Linked DNA regions of Astyanax mexicanus. The protein of the gene in region 1 interacts with the protein of each later gene in a pairwise test. Links are inferred from orthologs where the notes say so. Each region holds a gene or a part of one and is shown on either strand. Other genes may lie near its edges. The genes, in order: phyh and pex7.

Region 1 (12,516 bases):
TGCAGACAAAATTGTACTACATATGTAGTAAACTCTGAAGCTATTTTGAGTGATAACCCAGAATTAGTGTTACATTACTGTATAAAACTGTTTGTCGATGGCCAGCTGCTACATGATTAAACCAATTCTAATAATTCCTTTGTACTACCACCACTTTCTCCTGTGGGTGTGTTTCTGACAAAACAAGACAGGAGGATCAAAGTGATGTCCTCTCTCCATGGACCAGGCGTCCTCTCAAAGCCCAGGTATCCTGCATACATAAAGCACACATACACAATCAGAATACAGCTACAAAGCAGAAATACGTAATGACAACCCACAGTATTGATCAATAAAAGGATCCTTACCGCAAAGGAAACGGATATATCTGTTCCATATCTTCTGGTAGCAATTTCATTCACCTCCTTACTAATGTTCTCCTGGCTTGTCCCAGTCACATCAATGTAATAACAGTCAGCACTGGCATAGTGACAGGAGATGGCCTAAGCACAAACACACACACAGACACACACATATACACAATTTCACTGATTACTGCTAAACAGACTGAAATGTCTCACTTGCAGTGCACCAGATTGCATCACCTAGACAGAGTTTACCAACTAAACGCAATCAATCTTTTAATTTGACTCAGTTTATTACAAGTCAAGCAGTATAAACTAAAGTGACCTCTTCATGGTAACATAAGTAACATAACCTAAACAGATTCTCATTAGATTTATTATAGCTTTGGTAGATAATTTAAAATATACCTCTATTAGATATTTAAATTGAAGAACAAAAAAAACATATAATGTATTAGTGTGAACCTATTAGTCCTGACCTTCCGGAATCCCTGTGTTTGGTTCATTCCCGAGCCGTGGATGAGCAAAGGGTGAAAGAATAAGGTGTCTCCTTTTTCCATCTCCACATGCATTCTCGGGTGGTTTGGATCATAGTTGCGAACACCATGGTACATCTTGTTTACACCACCCTTAGTAGAGTTAAGAACATGAAGAAAGGAACATTTTGATTAAAATGTTTTGTCATTTGGAAATAGGACAACACCCCATGGAAACTGCAGAGACTGAAGATGGCACATTTATCTATCGGCATATCTATAGTTATATACACGCACACATTTAACATTCACTCAAGTACAGCTCTGTCACACCTCCTTCTCTCCTCTCACCTCCCATTCTGGATAGTCATGTTCCTGAAGGGTGCCCTTGTGGCTTCCAGGAAGCACTACCAGGCAGCCATTCTGTCGGTTCACCTTCTCCATGGCAGTCCAGGCACAGACAATGTGGTCGACTGGGCGAAAGGGAAAGTAGTGCAGGTCCTGGTGCATGGGGTGACGAGATGTCTTCTTTCCTGAGAAAAAAACAACTCTTTAAACCCTATCTTTGTGCAAATAATTCTAACAGTGTATACAAGTTTACTTAAAAAACAAACTAGTTAATAGATCTGCATAACCAAATATCACTACCAGAAAGTACAGCTGGGTATAGTCTACTTCATATTTAGGTGTGTGTTTACCTGCATCTGGGGGTTTATTAATGAGCATTGTGTGCATTGCCATGATGTTGGGGCCAGTAAAACACTCCACATACTTCAGAATCTGTAACAGACACAAGTATCTGTTGCAGTGCAACATTTCTCCATATAGCTGGATAAAGGCACTGCTGGCCTGTCTCAGCCTGCTAGGTTTTATTATTAAAATATGGAGCCATATATCACACTTTACAGTATTCCAATTTATAGCTAGCTGCCTGTTTGTGTGTGAATGTACCTGGGGCAAACTGCAGTAGCGGAATAGTTCTGCATCATCCTGGAAATCCTGAAGTTTAGATACAGCCTTCTGATCACGCACAAACTCAGACTTCGCAATAGCTACATCTCTCATCACCACCATGCCTGGAATCTTCACGTCTCCTTTACAGACACGCTCAAACTCTGCCCTGCAGGCACACACACAATAAGATTTATTAAACACAGTTGTCATATACACTTGTAAAAATAAAGGTATTTTAAATGGTTCTTTGTGGGATGCCATAGAAGAACCACTTTTGGATCCATAAAGATCTAATTCTTTCAAGGCTATCTAAACATGGCAAATCTGATTTGTTCAAAACAAATCTAAGACACTGTGATATGTGTTCCTACATCGTGTACAGATCCAAATTGTAGGAATGTGATATAAATGTGAATGGTCAGATCGGATTTAATAAGCCTGTACATGAGCATTGTGAGAGGAATCGTTGTAACAGTTGTAAGCTGTGGAGGCATGCATTAACATATTATTGTGCGTGTGTGCTGTTTTAGGTAAAATCTTGTGGCACTACCACTTATTATTAATACAAACTAGTTTTGGAGTATGCATTATGTTGTATAGATTAAAGTGTCAAAGTTAAATATACTCAGATATCCATAATGCACTCTCAGAGCTTGTGGGTTTTTGATTTTTTTCTAAGAAAATGCCAGCTAACAATGCCGCAAAACGGCAGCAGAAAAAGCTGCAGTATGTATTTTTGTATAGCAATACTTTACTTACTACATTACATGAATACTGAGTGTTCTAAGGTGCCAACCTGCACTATTAAATTATTATATATTCATATAGTATTAATGTATAGTACACAATTGCGATGCAGGGTGTTGCTGCCACCTTGTGTTCGTCTTAAGGGAGTGCAATTAGGTGGAAAACTTACCAAAAACATTTGACCTAAATGAAATATATACTGTTGGATAAGCCAAAGCATCTGAAAGGCATAACCTAGGCTCTTGCCTATATAAATAATTACCTGTACACAATTAATACTACCAAAGTTACTCAAACTGTGTTAATAAACAGACTGCGAGGCATAGCTACCTAAAACGATCAATGTCCTCTTCGGAAACCAGGTTTTTGATGAGTAAAAAGCCATTTTCTTCATAAAAAATCCTCTGCTCTGGACTCAGGAAACCTGTGTCAAAGGTGTACCTGCACAATGGAAGCCACAATAAGTGTCATACAAAACAATGTAATATAGATCGGAAACCAAGGAGTTCCTGGGATGGATTTTTACTAGGACTACCCACCTGTAGTAATATAACAGTTGTGACATTGAGATGCCTTATTAAGGTAAATATAACTATTATTCATTTATGTGCACTTAACACAGAAGGAAGTCTAACAGACACTGTGTACCCAGTATTTAAATAAGGTACACACTGTACATTTCCCTATTGGGTATTCCCTGCACTATTTAACACTAAACAAAACAGCATCAGCATAAAGAGAAGGAAACTTTTTCTCCACCCTAAAAATGATTCTGGTGAGATTTCTAGCTGCATGTCATTATATAGCTACTTTATATTGATTTCATTTAGAGTTTGCAAGTTTTAAAACATTTTAACTTACCGTAATGTTTGAGGATGATATGACACTGCCTGGGATGAAGTGAAGGATGAGCGCTGTTAGAAGCAGTTAAGGAAAAAGATTTAGAAATCATATTAATTTAGATTAATTTAGATGTAAACATATACAAGTATGCAAATTACATCAAACATATGACAGATGACATTACAGAAAATTGATCATAGTGGTAGTTCAAACAAGTCACAAAGATTCAGCATAAATCCTGGCCATATAAAAGGAGAAGCAACATAAGCATTAAACAACAAAAAAATAAATTAATAATTCATATACATACGATTCTCATTAGGTAATGAGACACATTAAGTAATGAGACACAAAGCATAAATATAAGATTGGTTGTGGTCCAGCGGGCTATTAAGGGGGTTAAAAAGATGGGGACATATTACACCACATGTGTCAAACACAAGGCCCGCGGGCCAAATGTGGCCCGCCACGTCCTTTTATGTGGCCCGCGAGAGCTTGTAAGATCTTAGTGTCTATAATAAATGGATCAGAAGCGTGCTTTGACCAAAAACTACGTTTCCCACAATGCTTGTCGATTGTATTACCCGCGAAGTTACGGCTTACTGCCACTACACGGCAGTGTAGTCATTGATGTGGAAACCCTGCCGGAGGGAAGGCGTAACTTCGCGGGTGAAATGTTTATCCCATAATGTCCAGAAAAAGAGAAGCTGATTCAGACGGACGGCTGTGCTTCAAGGAGAAAGAATGGTATGCCTTTTGTGTTACGAAGAGTGTTACTGACCAAAATAAACGCTTTTTAGAAGAGATATAAGTTATGTGTAAATATTTATAAGACAATAGCTGACAAAATCTGTTTTAATGATTTTAATAAACATCACTGTGTCAGCGCTATTCAGTTTCACCGCAGCGAAGGACGAAGACGTGAATCACTTATCTAACCAGCCTGTACTGATTTCTGCTCCAATAACCCTTTCAATAACCTCCAATAGCCTTTTATAGTCTTCAGTAGCCTTCAACAGTCTAACCCTGCAGCCGTGGTGTGTGCACTAAACTCCGTAGTTATAAACATTCTGAGGTTAGCAGCGCGCTAACTGACCTGTTTATAATGTAACGTTAATCCGAGCAGTGACTCCGTGACGCTGCTCTGAACTGCTGCTGTTAGCTGCTTGTGCTGAAAGATGAGCTGTAGAGAGCTGTATTATCCGGTTAGTGGGGTTAAAACCTTTATTTCCTACACAGAAGAACTTAAAATGTTTTAAAAACGCTCCAGACTGGCTGAGCTGAGCCTGTAGCCCGTGGCTGGGCTGTAGCTCTGACTCAGTGAAGACAGCGGGGGCTTGTGCTGCTGCTGCAGCTCCCACTAGTGGTTGGATGAGGAACTGCTAAATCTGAGGAAATGCTAAATCTATCACATATTCTTAACAGCTCACAATTTTTGATTTTATATTTATTAAGCCTTATTTCAGTATCAAACGTTTTGATCAAAGTTAATATAACTTGTATTTTATGTCATTTCTATTCACTTGAATAGTTTGGTTCTTGATTGATGGAGTTTTTGGATTTCATAACATGACAAATTAAAAGGATTTATGTTAATAGAGCAACAAGCAAACATTTTTTCCATTTAGAGTTATTTAACATTAAAGAGTAATTACATTCATTTTATATTACATTTGGTTACATTTTATTACATTTATAAGTTACATCTGGCCCTCAGAGGACAGCCAATATGCCAATGTGGCCCTCGGCCAAAATGAGTTTGACACCCCTGTATTACACCATTTATTAGTTAAAGATAATTAGTTCACACTGGAAAAATAAATGCAATAAATGTTTCATCAAAAATCCATGAACCTGAAAATTACAGAATTCACTCGCTATGTAAAATGTTGACATGTAAGTTATTTCTCTGGTCTTTTTTTGAATTAAAAGTCAAGTCCTTCTCCAGTCAATGGAGAAGTGTGTGTTTAATAACACACACTCAGTAAAAATGACAGAATTGCCGGTGCAGTGAATAATCTGCAGGCGGTGTCGTCGCTTTTTATTTCTCACTAACTTTATGCGTTAAAGTTAAACAAAATAGCCATGACAAGTGTATGACAAGCTTGCAAACGTAAAAAAAATAATCGTAAAATAAACCATAATAAGCAGTGGCGTTTAAAATTGTGTAGAACAGTGTAAAACATTGAAAACTCTCTAAACGGACCACCTTTCTTGCATAACCGGCCCATCATAGCCTCGGACTGTCGTTGAACCTGAACACGCAGCACGCTGCACTAAGACCGGGCGCTCGCTGTGAGGAAACAGCTAGCGTTCCCTACATTAAGTTGCTAAACTAGCAAGCCATCAGGCTAACGCTCAAAAGGATACAACAGAAGCAGAGTTGGAGCGGTCCAGATGATTGAGGACAACCTTCAGCCTGTCCGCTGCGCGTCGAGACATCTTGTTTAGCCCAAAAACCAAATAAAATAAGCTCTTCTGCTGACAGCAGCTTCTGTGTGCACTCTCTGGTTCCTCCCAGCGCTTCTGTTTGCCTACATATAGGTAGCTTAGCCTAACTGGGACAAAGTACCAAAGTACGTGACAGGCAGATACACTGACACTTAGCCCAGATCCCTCAGCACACAGTCTGATAAGAACTGTATTATATAACTGACAATATTGCAATTAAGCTCATTTTACAAAACTAAAACGCTTTCCATGATGTAACATTTTATGTAGATTGATATGATCTTGTTATGGTGAGGGTTTATTCTACACCAGAGGTAAATCACATTTTATATATCTTTGAAAAAGAACATTACCCCCCCCCCCCCCAAAAAAAAAGAATAAATAAATAAATACATAATAATAATAAAATAATACTGCTCATCTGACATTGTAATCGTCTTTTATATTAAAAAAAAGAGACAGAGTTTCTTACTAATGTACCATAAATGCAGAGATATGCAGAAAAGTGAAATATCTAATTTTGTGGCCATTTAATTTTATTGTAGTAACTGTTAACTTTTATACATGTAGTTGTTATGTTGCTCCTCAGTTGATGCTCTTAAATTCACTATGCATTCATAGGTATGTCTAAATTTTTTTTTTTTTTTTTTTTTAATAAATTTGTTTGGTTTGTATTCTACAAAAGTGGGTCGTGACTTAATGACCATGAGAAAATCTGGGTCCCAGGCTAAGACCAGTTGAGAACCCCTAATTAAGAGCCTATAGTTTCCACTGTATATGATTAGACATAATGACATTAATAATAAAGAATACATGTAGTAACGTAATAATATCAACACAAATCTTGAAAATACTAAATTCACTTAATGTCTAAATAAATGTATGTTCTTTTAAATGACTTTATAGGATTTTAAAATTCTAAACTATAAAAAAATCTCTTTTCATTTTCAAATCCACTGTGAGTTTGCCTAAAATCCTTAAACACAGTCGTAGAGTGGGGAAATGTGCACAGTGTTATAGCAGCAACATTACAGTAGGACAAAGGTAGAATTTTTTTTTTTTTTTTGAGATATTTTATTATGAGCAGCAGAAGAAGAAGATATACAATACAGCTACTCAAAAAGGAGTGGGAAGAAGAAAACTTATTTAAACCCACCCCTTTCTTCAAAATTAACATAACTTACATAGCTTACATAGCCACTTCCCATCGACTTACATTAGATGAAACTTAACAACAGAGAAAATTAAATTTACAAATACTTAGAATCCTCTAACCTAGATACCAACAGCGATAGTAAAGAAAGTTCTAATACTATACACAAGCAGCCCTCATACCAACAGTGGTAAAAGGGCAACCATACTAGTTACGGTAACAAAGGCTCTAAAAATCCAACTTTGTGTATAATTCTCATTGCTCGTTTTTGTAATTTAAATAGTGTTTGTATTGTACATTGATCATTGTTGCCCCATATTTCCGCACAATATGATAAGTATGGGAGAACTAGAGAACAATATAGTATACGGAGTGCTTTATGATCGAGAAATTGCTTTACTTTGTTCATAATAGAGAGGCTTTTGGAAATTTTTGTTTTTATGTGTCTGATGTGGGCTTTCCATGTTAATTTACTGTCTATTATTACTCCTAAAAATTTGTTTTCAGTTACACTTCCAATTGGGGCACCATCTATGCTTATTTGAAATACAGAATTAATCTTATCATTACCAAATATCATTGCTTTTGTTTTAATTAAATTTAATGATAACTTATTTCTGTCCATCCATTCTTTTATTTTACTTAATTCATCATTTACAGTATTTATGAGTTCATTATGATTGTCACTGCTATAAAAAATATTAGTATCATCCGCAAATAATATTAGTTTTAGTGATTTTTATACATCGAAAATATCATTAATATACATGTTAAACAATTTTGGGCCCAACACGGCCCCCTGGGGGACACCACAAGCGATGCCAAGATATTCAGATGTATAATTACCCATTTTCACATATTGAACCCTTTCTGTGAGATAACTCTCTATCCAGTTACCTGCTACTCCTCTAATTCCGTATTTCTCTACTTTTTTAATAATATTGAATGGTCTATAGTATCAAATGCCTTTTTGAGGTCCATGAATATTCCAACTGCATATCTTTTCCTGTCCAATGCATTTGTAATTTCTTCTATTGCCTCAATAATAGCCATTGAAGTAGTTCTTTTGGCTCTGAAGCCATATTGACCTTCATTTATTAACTCAAATTTTTCAATAATTTTTTCTAAACGGGAATCAAACAATTTTTCTAAAATTTTTGAAAATTGCGGAAGTAAAGAAATAGGTCTATAATTAGTAAAAATATATTTATTGTCGTTTTTGTAGATTGGTACAACTTTTGCAACTTTCATTTTTTTTCGGAACACATCCAGTTTGGAAAGACAGATTACAAATATAGGTCAGAGGTTTTGAAATGTTATTTATAACTTTTTTAACTAATACCATATCTATATCATGACAATCTGTAGATATTTTACTTTTACATTCGTTAACAATATTTTTTACTTCATGTTCATCTGTTGCAGAAAGAAAGATTGAGTTTAAGTTTCCTTTTATAGTTTCATTGGACTGATGATGTCCTAAACTTGGGATATCAGCAGCCAAGTCTGGGCCAACATTGACAAAAAATTTATTAAACCCATTTACTATTGTTCATATTGAAATCATAAACATTTTTATCAACAAAATGATCTGGATACTTAGTTTTTGAAAATATGGTAACAAACTCAATATTTAAACATATACCATTACATTATGCCACAGCCAGTACAAATTATTTATCATCTGTTCAAACAAAACCAAGAAATAACACCCCTTCTACTCTAAATTAGTAAAATAATTACTTGTAAACATGTATATTGGTATAAATGAACATGTATTGGAAATATTGAAACCTTCAGATCGCATATTAAACACAGTTAGGTTGTTAAATCGTGTTATATTATTTATTCAGTGGGGCTTAAAGTTATATTTAAATATTTCATTTAAATATACCTTGATCATTAAATTATTAAATTAAAAATATTTTATATTATTGGTTGTATTATTATGAGATTATTTATTACAAGAAAAACAAGAGAAGCTGGTAATGGGTGTTTTATTCATTTGCAGCATATTTACACATTTAAGATGAATAAAAAAGGCTCTGTATGCCAAATTACAGGTCTTACATGTTTAAAAATAAGGATGCCAAAAATACGTTGTAACAGCAGTGCTGAAGAAACACCAGAACCGTCCAATTTATATAATTTTTTATTACCCACTGAAAGATTCTTAATGCATCCTAAAATATTTCTCATATTAAATCATCTCAATAGAACCCTTTTTGGCACTATTAATTAATAATTGGCTCAAGAGGTGGCAAAGAAGTCATGCTCATTCTGCATTTGCATTCGGAAGATGCGGTTGGCCTTCTGCACTTTCTTATCTGTGTTCAGGTGCTTGTTCAGAATGTCCTTGTAATGCTTTTCAGGGTGGCCACTCATATTGCCTTCTTTCCATGTGTAGTAGGCATTGGTTTTGGGGATGTCTAAGTTATTAGCTAGCCAGAGCCAAAGCCTGGAGCAGGGCAAGAGAGACACAGTGAAGTAGATTGGATCTTTCACATTCATCACTGCATTGTAGTCAGACAGATACTTCTTCATGGCTGGTGTGGGACTGATGGGTGGTGCGGCCTGTAGTCAAGACAATCATGTAAATGTTTGAGATACATGAACATAACCTTAATAACATAACCCTGTCAAAGCAAAATTATAACTTAAACACATCCAATATGCAAATATAAAGTACCAGAAGCCAGCTGGAAGGCTGTATGGGCCAATACTGAAGTAAGAGCCTTGGTGCATGTACAGTTAACAAAAGGATAAAAAATCTTTTTTGTTGGCTAAACAAACATTTTTATAAACATTATTTAAACTTGGAAACTGATAATATTAATTAATCTCACTAAAATACAAAATCATGTTTTTCATTCTGCCACTAAACATTCAAAGAACTGTTTTTGTATCTTCCAGCTCTATCTTACCTTGAGGAAATACTGGCTGAGGAATGAGTCTGCAAAGCTCTTGTAACTATTATATCGGCCTTTCATGAAATCGCTCAGGTCATGTGGACGTTTGACCGTCTGGCTCATCTGCTTTAGCATCTCAGTCACTTTCAGCAGGTAGTTGATGTCCTGCAGGGTGAAGTTAACGTAGCGCTCAGCCTGCAGGCTGCCGTTCTGCATTTGTACCAAGAAATCGAGATGGAGCGTTTTGTTGGCAATGTCCATGTTGTTGTTCCAGAGATTTTCATAGATGTCCACTTGTTGCTTGGAGGCTAAACAATGGCTACAGAAATATAAAAGCAAACAAATTCGTTTTTTAAAAGTGCTATATGTGTATATGCTTTACCCTGGCATGAAAAATGTCTTGGGAACTAGTATTGTGTCCCATGACTTTTGCCATGGCCCATGGAAACCAAAGAACACTGCACTGCCCTGTGAGATATGCATGTGAGGTGCCCTGCATAGAAAGTAGATGTGATTTTTCTCAGAGTCGCTTGGCAGTTTGCATGGACAATTACAGATTGAGTCACAATCATTTCCACCCACTGTTCTGTACACTGTGTATTGCCTTTTATGTGTGACATAGATGGAGATGTTTTTGGGATGGTAAATGCCCACATGTCTACAGATATGGACGCCCACTGTCAGGTCTCACTTGAAGCTGATAAGTCATGTTGCCTTACCATGAGCACGCTGACTAATGTTTAGCCTCACTCTTTAACACTTCACAGCTTTTACAAGTGTGTCTGTTCCCGCGTAATTTCTTGAGGTAATACTTCATGATCAATTTACAGACTGCTATCACATGAATCGTGGCATGTCATTTAATTGATGCATTTTATATCCATTATATATTATCATTGCATAAAACAGATGCATATATACAGCATACTTCAGCACCATGCAGCCCCTCTTAATTACATTTTTCTTCAGTTTTTATCTTCTTGGGAAACATTTGTTGTGTATTTTATGTTTCAACATAAGGTATAAATAAGCACAATATATAACAGTAAATAAAATCACTGGATATTTGCCTCAAAACAAAACAAAATTGTATATTATATTATATTTTACTGTTTAAAGTACATCGTATCCCTCACTAACAATAGACATCATAGCACATCTGTTATTGTTTTATATATTAAAGGGATTTAACTGTATGTAATTATATGAAAAAAGTGTCCCAAAAGGGTCCTTTGTTAGTGATATTTTCATCCTCCTAATCAAATGTACACCTAATTATTTGTTTCAGTTTTGCATTATATTTGAATAAGATCTAAAAAAAAAAATAACTAAAGTACATAACCGTGTTAGTGGTAATAGTGTGTTTCTATGTCTTTTAATGAACAGAAATTTTATACATACATCTGGATTTATGTACACATAAAAAAATCTAAAGGAAAAAATAGGTGTAATGAGTCCTTACCCCAGAAATAGCAGAAAAAATGCACAGGAAAATGCAGCAGAGTTCATCTTCACCTTCTCTTCAGTAGTTAGATTCACAGCTACTGCTAAACTGTTGGACTGGTCTGCTGTGAGAGGAGATGCTGCTCTTCTTTAATACTGCTCATTGGTGTTGTAATCTGGAGACATCATTTGATTGCATTTTACCGGACGTGACTTGTATGGTCTAATTTCCAGTATGTCCAAAGGTTTATCTGACTTGTAACGAAAGCAAAGTAATTGCAGTATCAATGTAAGACACAATGAGCTTCCTTTTTTTTTCTTTCATGGTTTTGAAAGTCACTTTATGGCAAAAGTATGTATTTTATGCTTTCCCATTCTAAACCCACAAACATTAATGTTGTCCAAATTTTACAGGAGGTGTGAAACTTTATTGGGTCAACAAGTGTTAATTAACTTTATTAATGCACTTTGTTCCACAGAGACCCCACTCTGTAACTTTGTGTGGTTGGACATTTTGTGGCTGAGATGCTGTGGTTCTTAAACACTTCTACTGTTTAATAACACCACTCACAGCTGAGGGGATACACATCCTGTAATTGTGAAGACATTTCACCAACTGACTTGTTTCAGCAGTGCCATCCTATGACAGTCCCACACTGGAGTTCAGTGATCTAGTCAGAACCACCCATACTTCCACTAATGTGTGTAAATGCAGGTTACATGGCTTACAGTTCCAAGCATCTGTGATGGATCATTACACAATGGAAATGCCAGTCTAAAGGCCTGGATCTTACATGGTATGGGATATGTTAGTGCATTTTTGTCATGGTGGCAAAGAATGCAGAAAAAGTGCATTGAGCAACACAAGTTTTTTTTCAGGGATGTCCATGGAGTTTTCAACAAGAAAATGCAAACCCACATTTAGCACTCATTGCAAAAGAGTGGAAGTGGAAGAAGAGGGTGTGTGTATATTGGACTTGGCCTGTCTGGAGTCCTGACCTGTCCCCAGTATTATATGTGTGGGGAAATTTAAACTGAAAATGAGGCAATAGTGACATATTTGCAGGAAGAATTGGACAAGATAACACCTGAATCGTTTTATTGGTTGGCATCTTAAGTGCCAAAAGTTTTGTGAAAAGAAATGGATACAATACAAATTGGCAAATGCTTTATTGTCCCAAATTAAGTTGACCAGA
Region 2 (11,645 bases), on another chromosome or scaffold:
AAGAAGAGAAAAGGAAGTAGTAGATGCTATATAGTTATTCACTGGATGGACTAAATTACTACTACTTTTACGTTTTTAGCAAGGAGACCACATTCATATGATTAAACCAGTTATTTTTGTTATATATTACATCAAATGAAAAATACACAGCAACAGAAGAGTGCAATCACTCAGGTATGTCAGAAGCACAGCTTTTAATAAATACAGATCCCTCCATATTATTCATTACAATAATGAAGAGAAGAGCAGCCCTGCCAAAATTTTGTAAGCAAACACAGACACACAGTGTCAAGAAAAAGTATGTGAGCCTTTAGAATTTTAATGTTTTTCTGCACAAATTTGTCATAAATAACTTTAATAGTCTCAACCAGGCACTTCCTGTAGCTGCGGCTCAGACCTGCACATCATTCAGGAGGAATTTTAGCCCATTCTTTCTGGCAGAACTGCTTTAGCTCGGCCATAATTCTTGGACATCTTAAATGTACGTCTCTCTTCAAATCAAACCAAAGCATCTGAGATCTGGGCTGTGACTTGGCCACTACAAATAAGTATTTTGATTTTCTTAAGCCATTCTACTGTGGACTTGCTCTGGTGTTTTGGGTCATTGTCCTGTTGCATTACCGAACTTGTCTACAATTTCAGTACAAAAGTACAGCCACTCTTACACTGTCCTGCATATTTTTTTTAATAAACTTGGGTATTCATGTTCCCCTTAATGACTGTAAGCTGTTCAGGTCCTAATGTAGCAAAGCAGGTTTAAATGATGTGAAAAGTGTGGAACAACATAACAATGCCATTATAATATTGTGATATCAGTGGAATAAAATAGTCTTAAAGTAACAATAATATAATTAATCCTGATTATTACTGGAACAATATATTGTCCAAAAACGTTCTTATAGGTAACAGATGTACTCAGTATTTTGTAGGTACTCCTGAAGGGACTTGGTACCAGTAGAATGAATCCATGCACAAAAATAATCAATCATCTTCCAAATGACAGTTTATTTTAATACTACTGCTAAAATATCAACATCGCTATATCTAAATTTAAATCTAATACAAATCTAAACTCAGTAAGACTCAGTCCTAATTTGACTTACTAAAATTACTGCTTCATTACTCCATCACTCTTCCAGAGGTTACTTCCAGCATGATGATGAATTATGTCACAGAATATCACAAAAAAGCCATCTCAACAGGTTTAATGAACTCAGTGTTCAACAAGTGGCATTTCCCAGTTACGATATTTGAATCTACAAGAAGACTTTTCGACAATCATGTCAACACGGACCAGAATATCAAAGGAATGTTTTTAACATCTTGTGAAATTAATATCAGGCTGATTGAGGCTTTGAGCAAAGGGAGGCCCTACATGGTATTAGTGTAGTCTTCCTAACAAAGTATTTAATAAGTGCATTTTCAACCTACAGCTGTTCAGCAGCACCCATTCACACTGAAGTAAAGCAATGCTGAAGCCTAGACTGCTTTTTATTCGAGAAACAATACATGGAAGACAATCAGAACATTGTAAACTAACAACAAATCCTGGCCCCTGTTAACAGTCTGGAAAACAAAGTTTCTGGGGTACATTTCCCACTTACTTTGAACAAGGTTCGAACAGTACTGGCATAAGAACACAACCTGTTCACTCATAAAAGGTGAAGTAAGGCAATAGCCCGTTCTTTCATAATCACATTAAAATAATAAGTATATTTCAAATGCAAGAGAATCATAAACCTCCTATTACCCTTACCTGAAGCAGAGGCGAAGCAGGATGATATGTGTGGGGACCAGATGGTGCTGTAGAGAACCCCCTCATGACCCTGCAGTGTACACACAGACTGGAAGCGTTCTGGATCCCACTGTAAAGAAACATATTTTACTACACATGGACTAAATGCAGTTCATATACTGCAGAGCTTACGTATACCTTGTGACTATGCCAAGCCTTTGAACATAATCTGGGATTTTATATTAAGCCAATCAGGAATTTCCATCTGAATTATTTTAAATGTAGCTGCTTTGAGGTGAAAATATATGTGCTGTTTCTTTTTTTTCTCCACACATAATTAAAAAATAATTAACATTGTGTTATAAATGCAGCTTCTAAAAATTCACTTAATACAATAACAGAAATATCAGAAATATAGCACTTCATGGCAAATGTGGCAGAAAAGATGCACTAACTAAAATAACATCATTTATACCAACTCAAATCTAATGACCCTTAATTTACAACAATTAACAACAATTTTACAATAACACAGAATTACAAAAAATACATCTACAAATACCAACATTCACTGTGTCACTTACTACTTTGGCTGTATGATCCCACGACCCCGACACCACCAGGTTTTCCCCCCGTGTCTGACTCCAATCCACTGAATAGACCTGATTTCAGAAATTCAAGAAATAATAACCTGAAATTGGATGTAACTCAGTATAGACAGACAAAGATGACATACAGGGTGGAACTAGAAATGCACCAACTGACAAAATCTGGATTATTGAGATGAATTTGGGAAGCACCAATACAGGGATTCTGGATCAATGCCATTTTTGATATTTTTTATTAAATGTCAATACAACCTGGATTACCACCAAGAACAAATAGAACATTAATTTTGTGCACACAGTTGTATTAAACTTTAATTTAATTTCTGTTATACTTCACAACTATATTGTTTGTATTTTACAATGACTTGGTCCAACAATTTAGAATACATATTCAAAACTATACTAACAAAGAAATTAAGCAATTGTCCTTGTGATGGAGTTTGCTGTCTGCATATTGAAACTTTACCTCTTGTGTGTGCTCTTTCAGGACTTGTATTGGACCTTTCGGGTTGGCTGTGTCCCAAATCTGTAGTGACCCATCCCCGCCCCCCGTAACCAGCACGTGCTCATTGCTTTCACTCCACGTCACGTCAAAGAGCCCATCATTCCAGTCAAAGCTGCACATAAAAAACAAACAAACAAAACTTCCTGTAAAAAAGATGAAGCTCACACACCTCCATAATCAAGATTCTTTTAATCATTGTGAGTTGAAAGTAATGGATTTTTTGCATTATAGTCCTGAGCAAAGGGAGACTGAGCATCTCCTCTCCTAATGTCCCTTGTTTCCAAAGGATTTCAGAGTAAAAATAATAGTAAAGAATCTGTCCATATCTTTAACATAAGACGGAAGTGGACTGTTACTACATGATCTTTGATCACTCTTTTTATTATAAGATGACTGATAAATTCAACTTTTTTAGGTATTTCTAGAGAAAACTATTCCAGGTGACTCTATCTCACGAAGACAAGAATCTAAATATAAAACATGTTCTGGTACTGATTAAAAAATAATTTGCATGTGTTCCTGTATAGATTTATTATCTTCAATATTACATTTACAATATAAAAAAAACATTAAAAGGAAAATAATTGAATGAGAAAAAAGGTTTGTCCAAACATTTGACTGTAAAGGTATGTCTTTCAAAACATCTGATCAGATTAATTGTGTCAGCAGTACACAGGTAAACCTTACTGTACCTTCTTAGAAGCTGAACATCAGTTTCTCTTTGCTCCAGCACAAACAGCGTTCCACAGCCTAAAACAAACAATAAAAAGCACAAAGTACCATTTTAAAATAAGAAACATGACATCCCTGCTAAAAATCCACCTTAAGAACAGCTAGTTGTCCAAAAAACAAAATAAAATAAAATCATATAAAATAAACAAGTGTAGGTAATACTTCTTTTCCGCAGTAAAATAAGTTATTTGCATTCTAATAACTTTGAGGGTTTTAGAGAATCCTTCAGGAGACTTGCAGAAGCTGCCTGTCCATTTTCTTATATTCTACTAATAATTCCAGAGTACGAAGAACCAACCTCAAATATTGGAAAATAGACATAAAAACTAGACAGCCATAATGAAATGAAATTTTTGGAGGGCATTATATATTTTATTTGTGTTGAGGAAAATACTGGTTTAAAATTAAAGTTTAGGAAAGTGTAAATTTGATGATTTGTGCAGATTTACTATTTTTACTTTCCAAAAACTTTTTATTTTTACTTTACAGATGTTACAGTGCAATAGGGATAATAATGTTTTCCTGGCATTTGCCAAACCCAGACTCGCCCATCAGACTGCCAGATAGAGAAGAGTGATTAGTCACTCCACAGAATACATTTCTACTGCTCCAGATTTAATTTTCAATTCCTATTTCAATTTTCAGTAACGTTTCTTATCAAACATGAATCCTTTTTATTTTTAAGCTTCAAAAGATATAGGCATGTAATATCAGGCAGAAATTTTAAGGGGTTTAGTGACCTAACTTAAAGCAATTAGATTTTTATCCTGTGAATTATGCTTCATGCACCACTGTGTAAAAGCCAACTGGTGCTGTAAGACTGTAGGTTAATATAAACAGTGTAGATAGAGGATCAGCTCGTTACCTGCTATCCCATAATACTGAGCTGTAGCACACGCCAGTCTGTTAGGGAGAAACGGGGAGACTTCCACAGCATAACCGTGTCGAGCTGAACACCTGAACCCCTTCATACTGAGAAAAGACTCCCCTCAGCCCCCCACTCACTCACTCCCTTACTCACTCCCTCAATCCTTCCCTCCCTCATTCACTCACTCCTCCACCTCTACAGCTCACTCCTCTCTCCCACAGCTAACCTAAACTTACTACCAGCAGAAAACTCCCCCACTAATCTCAGTAAGATGACAGTCTTCACTAAACCCCGACTTTCACCTCATCATTAAACCCCGACCCGATCTCTCTACAGGAGTTTAATCTGCACAGAGATTCAGTTAATAAAGAAAATCTGAACAGAAGCTGCACCAGTCTCTCCTCACATGCAGTAGCGATACATTTCCGTATTTTGATCACAGCAGCGAATAAAGGTCCTCTCCTATTGGTGGACCTGCTGACACTGGAACCAACACCGAGCTCTTTGATTGGCCTTAAGACCACATTATATACTAGCGACACTAGTCTCAAATACATCAACATATATAAAAAATTCCTGTCGAATTGTGCTACCTTGTCAAATCGTGCTACCCTAGTGAATATTTAAGTATAAATATAAAAAATAAGCACACTATGCTTCCAACAGGATATTTGGATAAGCTACCTAACTAACCGTATGAAAAAAGTAAAGTTAAGGTAATGAGACGTGATTAGAAAAACATATTTTGTATTTTTAATTGCTTATTATTGCTATTTTCTATTCTCTACTTATACGTTTGTATCATTTAGAAAAAGGCGCACGGGTGGTAAGCATATCGATGAGTTGCACCATAGACATCTTATACTTATACTTATATATATATAAATATATATTGTGCTTATATATATATATATATATATATATATATATATATATATATATATATATATATATATATATATATATATATATATATATATATATGATGTCTGTGAGTAGCACAACTCGACAGAACACCTGCCCACTCCCTGTCACCCTGTTATATAGGAGTATAAAGTTACTGTCAGCCGCTAGAGGGCACCAGCCAGTGAGTGCAAAATTAAAAGGGCTGAATGGAGCTTTAAAAACTCACATTTAAAAGTGTCTAAAACATATAAAAAAGAATTTGCTTAATTTTATAAAGTAGAATGACACACTTTGTCAAAAAAAGCAAATTCACCTACGTGAATGTTTTTCTACAGAAAATGTTTTTTGACAAACATTACTGCTACTGTTAGATATCTGGTGGTGAGCTGACGCTGAAATAAAACAGCCAGAGAACATGTAAAATATGAGTAACTAGAGTTTAAAAGCTTTAAACATATGTCTTCGGTCATTAAATAGTTAATGATATTGTTCTGTGGTGATAAAATAAGTAATTTCAGCATGAAAATAATTTTTATAAACTAGGATTTTGCTCATTTGCTCCATGTTAACCCATTATTTTGGACTCACTCGTGAGCGCCCTCTAGTGTCTGACACTAGTTTCGAAACATTCTCAAAGTGAGTAAACTCCTCTCTAGGGATTTTCTGATAGAGGCAAAACATTTAGAGATATAATCCCTGCATATAATAAATCGTCCCCTTTGGATATATTTGTATTTATTAATGTAATCTACTAAGATAAAAAATATTCTGTGTTTTGAAAAATCGATACAGTATTGGAAAACAAAGTATCACAATTCAATTTTCTTTCATTCCTACTGTTTATGTTTTATCATCAGCGTTTGCCACAAAACACGTCATTATTAGGTAAGAGTGGCCTAATAATGGCCTTGGTCATAACACTACCTTTTAACAAGTTTTCAAATTACAGTCAACCATGCTCCTTTGTGCATTATCTGACAATGTCATTTTAGAAAACACAATCACGTTGTGACAACCTATTGTTTTGGTGCTCACAATGTTGTCACAACGTACTATCACGCACTATGTTCTAAAACAGATAAAGAAATTTAAGTCAAATAGTGAGTAATTTTGGAAAGCTGTCAAATATATCACAAAGGCCTTAATGATGAGAGACAATGTGATGCTGCACATAGGAGTTTCTCCACAGGGTGGCGGTATTGTGTTTATTTGCGGGAATTCTTCTCATGACTGGACAAACATTGGATGAAGTGGAGTAAAGCACACTGATACTGGACAATTCCAGGAGAATGTTACCTGAATGACTACACACTACTACACCAACAATTGAAGGAAAACTCTGGTGTGAAATGGACTTGTTGTGTAGTGGAACATGATAATGAGTACCAACTGTTGTGGAATAGCCCACCTCCATTCACCCTCAGCATTCTAAAATACAGCGCTTTTGGCCGATGCTCCCAACAAGCTTACAATGCTAGGGATAGGGACATTTGTATTTTTACATCAATAACAAGTTCAAAAAAGCTTCATTGGTACAATTTTGAGGACCATGATATTTAAACCGAGTCACTGAGCACTAGAAGTTTATTATAAACAACACGTTTTATACACACATCATCTAGAAATGAAGTCTCAATAAGTCGACTGAGGAGCACAAACTAAAATACCCTTAAAAGGTCATGTGAATACTTGCATTTGGACTTATATTTGGACTGGAGTTGGTGTAAAAGGAGTTGGCAAGTATTTAATATATTATATATTATACCACAGTTAGTTCTGACCCTGCAATGTAATTGTTTGAGAATCGTTCTGTGAGTGCCATTATCAGCTGGTAATGCACTGTAACCAAAGCTCTCCATGTATTATTCCGCCACATACAGGTAACCTAGCAACGATACAACGCTTACCAGCCGAGCAGCAATGAAACTATTTAAACTCGCAGAGTTTTTATACATACAAACAGATTGTATTTTCAGTACCAGTTTAAAATAAGACTACCTTTATAAAGGGTTTATAAAAGGTTTGTAAATGCCCTAAAAATAATGAATAATCAGTTATAACACATACGTGCAAAGGGCAACAATGACCTGTTGTTTGACAAATAGTGAACCCACAACCATCTATATTGTTGCCCTTTCTACGAATGTGTTATAACTGATTATTCATTATTTTAAGGCATTTACATTTACATAACCATTAATAAACTAATCGTAAACCATTTATAAACCCTCTATAAAGGTAGTCTTATTTTAAAGTGGTACCCTTTTTTAATAAACAGCGATAATGAAACTGTGGTATAATCGCAATAATACACTCAAGGTGTAACATGTAATTTTGGCACTGCTGTGCTGATCTATGGCACTTGGCCTGCAACCTCATGTCTACGAGCACAGCAGTGCCAATATTACATGTTATAGCATGAACCTCGAGTATATTGTTGCCTTAATATGATGTATTTCCACAGGATTCATTTTGCAATCTGTTTCCCTGTTCTACTTATTTGTGCGCATCCTGTATCATGCTTCACTACACCCTGAGTCCATAATGGGGGCTGGCCTACAGGCTTCACAAAGCTTTGTTTTACTTTTGCATTAAAGTATTTCTAGCACTCTAGGTCAGGGTGTCAAACATTATCCACAAAGGGTCAGTGAGTTATCGCTCATTAAATATGTGGAATCAGGTGCTGGTTGTTGAGAATGAAAACATGCAGCCACAGCAGCCCAATGTGGTCAATTTATTTAATACTCCTGCTATATGATGTATTTATTTGTGATGTTTTTGTTGTTGCAGTGTTCTCTGAAAATTTTCCTTAAGACGGTCAATTTCGAGTAAAGTACAGCATATGCCAAGTTACAAGAATTCAGATATTCACCACACCAAATCTTAGTGTTTCAGCATACCATGAGATTTTGAATAATTGTGCATACATCTTTGAAATAGTTTGGGAAAATTCCCTTTTCTGTTTCAGTAAAGCTGTGCCCTAGTACACAAAACCAGGTCCAAGTCATGATTAGGTGAGTTTGGTGTGAAAGAACTTGAAGTTTGGGTTACTTTAACCCCTTTAAACACCAATGGGATCATTTAGAACTGATTGCAAGCCAGGCCTTCTTGTCCAGCATTATGTGATCTCCTGGAGGAACGGGCCAAAATACTCACAGACACACTACAGAATCTTGTAAAAAGCTCCTGTAGATGTAAAATGTAGGTGTGCCCAGTGTTTTCTGTGGGAAAGGTCTTTTGCTGTTCCAGTATGACTGTGCCCCAGTGCACAAAGCAAGGTCTAGGATGTATTGCTGGGTGAGTCTGGTGTGAGAAATATTTGGTGAAGAACTAGCCCACACAGAGCCCTGTAATGTGTAGGTGTCCCAGTACTTTGGTCCACATAGTGAATTTATTTATTAAAAAAGATATTTAGATATTTCATAATTTAATCTTTTAATCTTTTATCATTATTTGTTTATTCATAAAGCATAAAATATATTATGTTTATTTCATTAAAGTTATAAATATTTATGTTTTTTTTTTTTGTTTATTTATTGCTCATTTAAATGTGTTCACTATAAAGAAAAGCATGAGGCCCGCTTGTCATTTTCACGCTTCTGGGTTTTGACTGTGAGATGTTCTGGGCAGATCATGTGCGTCTTTGATATATGGAGGGCCACTTCAAAGGCTGGGACCAGCAGCTCTAAAGCAGATAACTGCCGGATTTATGGCCCCCACACCGTTCCCATGCACGTCGGTGGGCAGCAGCCGCTGTTTGCCCTAATCCCTATTCACTTGGAAATGCTGATACTTTTCCTTTTAGGAATTTAAGGAAGGAATTTAATGGTGTGACAGTGATTTACTAATGTAAAACTGCCCAACAGGCCGCAGCATAAAGAGAGTGGATTAGAGTGGCGCAGAGCCCCGTCTTTAGGAGGAGCGAGCGCTGTTGCTTTGCTTTCATGCTTTTCAATGTTCCTACTTTGAGGCCTGCGCTTCACTAAACGGCTGCGTACGTCCTGCTCTAAAGGCCAGTTTTCTCCCTCTGTACTTTATGCAGTGACACAGTGTCACATTCAATGGTGTCTTTTTGATTCTTATTCACAAGTGAAATTAACTGACAACAGGTGTGCCAACTAAAACATTATCAAAGCAAGAGAAGCTGAATAAAACAGACTTCTATTAAGAGATGTTTTAAACTTAAAATAAGCAAGTTTTCTCAAAAACTGTAGTCGATTAATTGTTTTTTTTTAGCCTTACACTGTAACAGCAATACTCTATAAGCTAATAGGTAAAGAACGATAAAGAGCACCAGTTAAAGTTTATCTGAAAAAATGTACACAACTGTGGGCACAACTTTTCTGCTGCTTTTCTGATGTATTGTACTTTATAGATAACAGTATATCACACAGTGTGCATATAGAGTGTGTTTACCATTACTTGGAAAAATACTTATAATCTTTCAAAATGTCTCTATAATGAGAAACGTACTGAATCAGAACTGTTCACATTGCTGGTGGATGGATTAGACGTCTGAAAAGTTGCATAAAAAGCCGTCATTACATGAAATAATGCATCATGCCCACAGCACTGTTTTTGTTTTATGATAACCTTTGATTTGGTCTAAAACACATTATTTTCATTCATGATGAGAATTACATGCAGGCCCCAAGGAAAACATATTTGTTCACATTTAAGACATATAAGACTAATGGATAGATGAAGACTTTTGGACAGTAAATAAAATGAATATATCTGTGTTTAAGTCATGGTAAAACTATGTTATTCATCATCAGTAATGTAAATACATATGTTTCTATAGAATAAACCTTTTCACAAAAAACCCAAACCCTGAATGACTCTAAACGTTTCCATCTGAATTATTGAACTATGCAAAAAATGTTTGTAAAAATGAGGGAATGCATGATGCTAACCAGTGTGTAACGCGGGAGACGGAGGGATGGACGTAAGTGCAATATATATTATTTATTAAACAAACAAGATAAAATAAAACAGTAAACAAAACTCGGGTAACGCACAAAACTACAAAGAAAACAAGGCAAGGATAAACTAGAACTAGGAACACAAAATCAGAGTGCACGGAAGACGAGGATTCAAACGAACGGCAAGGATACAAAGATACAACGGATACAAAGATTACTAAGGATACAAAATACAAAAGACTCGACACTGAACATTCAAACAGACGGGCTTAAATACATGAGGAGAGTGAGAAACACCTGGGCTAGGATGACGAGGGGGCGGGGTTACAGACAAGACACAGGTGAGAACACTAATAGCTAGGGCAGGGCTGGGGCGGAGCTAGGGTGGAGACAGGTACAAAAACAACAACACAAGCACATGGCTGGGAAACATTTGACAGGAAAACAGAGGGGCAGGAGCACAAGAGACCAAACGAGGGAGAAACAGAAGACAGACATGGGCTAAGGTGTAACATAACCCCCCCTCAACGGCGCCACTACCAGAGGCGCCGAGAGAGAGGGAACAGGGACTGGACAGGGGACACGAACGGAGACTGGACAGAGGACTGGACAGGGAATGGAAACTGGACAGGAGACGGAGACCAGGCAGGGAACTTGACATGGGACGGAGACTGGAATGTAGACTGGGACGGGGACAGGACACATGGCTGAACAGGGGACTGGACAGGAGACAGAGACTGGACAGGGGACCGAACAGGAGACTGAGACTGGACAGGGAACGGAGACTGGGACTGGACAGGGGACCGGACACAGGGCTGGACACGGGGCTGAGACTGGACAGGGGGCTGGACAAAACTGGACAGGGGAACTGGAACAAATACATTTACAGGGACGGACACAAACACAGTGACGGGGACAGGAACAGAAACAGAGACTGAGATGGGTACAGGGACACAAATTGAGACAGGGACCGAAACAGGGAGAGACACAGGGACCAGAAACACAGGAGGGTGCCCAGGACTGGCAAATGTCCAAGGAAATGTCTGTGGCAAAGTCAGGGGAGCCAGCCTGGGCACAGTGCTAGGGGTACTATCCGGGGGCCTAGGAGCAGGCCTGGGGGCAAACAAAGTTCTGGGAGCGGGTACAGGGTCAGAGGCGGACGGGGCCGCGGGTGCAGGGTCAGGAGCAGTGGGTACCACATGGGTGGCAGGCACTGCTGGTGCTGGAGCTGAGGCTGTAGCAGCGGGAGCTGCCGGTGCTGGAGCTGAGGCTGTAGCAGCGGGAGCTGCCGGTGCTGGAGCTGAGGCTGTAGCAGCGGGAGCTGCCGGTGCTTGAGCTGGGGCAGCGGGTGCTGCCGGTGCTTGAG

Evidence for each region.
Region 2: the proteins of phyh (region 1) and pex7 interact in a two-hybrid assay, tested with the Homo sapiens proteins (2 studies listed by BioGRID, with this or other methods). The link is inferred for Astyanax mexicanus from reciprocal best matches to the Homo sapiens genes PHYH and PEX7.

The regions. Positions count from the first base shown.
Region 1 is NC_064409.1:12,376,518-12,389,033, forward strand, and holds the start of phyh (phytanoyl-CoA dioxygenase, peroxisomal), read right to left. Parts: upstream 5,966-12,516; 5' UTR 5,807-5,965; coding exon 5,735-5,806; intron 3,436-5,734; coding exon 3,383-3,435; intron 2,963-3,382; coding exon 2,852-2,962; intron 1,941-2,851; coding exon 1,772-1,940; intron 1,601-1,771; coding exon 1,519-1,600; intron 1,354-1,518; coding exon 1,172-1,353; intron 974-1,171; coding exon 824-973; intron 483-823; coding exon 348-482; intron 251-347; coding exon 197-250; 3' UTR 1-196. Other genes in the region: uncharacterized protein si:ch1073-67j19.1, read right to left, coding at 9,219-9,542, 9,893-10,196, 11,340-11,386. UniProt on the Homo sapiens protein: Catalyzes the 2-hydroxylation of not only racemic phytanoyl-CoA and the isomers of 3-methylhexadecanoyl-CoA, but also a variety of other mono-branched 3-methylacyl-CoA esters (with a chain length of at least seven carbon atoms) and straight-chain acyl-CoA esters (with a chain length longer than four carbon atoms).
Region 2 is NC_064408.1:82,754,758-82,766,402, reverse strand, and holds the start of pex7 (peroxisomal biogenesis factor 7), read right to left. Parts: upstream 4,898-11,645; 5' UTR 4,552-4,897; coding exon 4,446-4,551; intron 3,599-4,445; coding exon 3,541-3,598; intron 2,961-3,540; coding exon 2,810-2,960; intron 2,398-2,809; coding exon 2,320-2,397; intron 1,866-2,319; coding exon 1,757-1,865; intron 1-1,756. UniProt on the Homo sapiens protein: Receptor required for the peroxisomal import of proteins containing a C-terminal PTS2-type peroxisomal targeting signal. Specifically binds to cargo proteins containing a PTS2 peroxisomal targeting signal in the cytosol.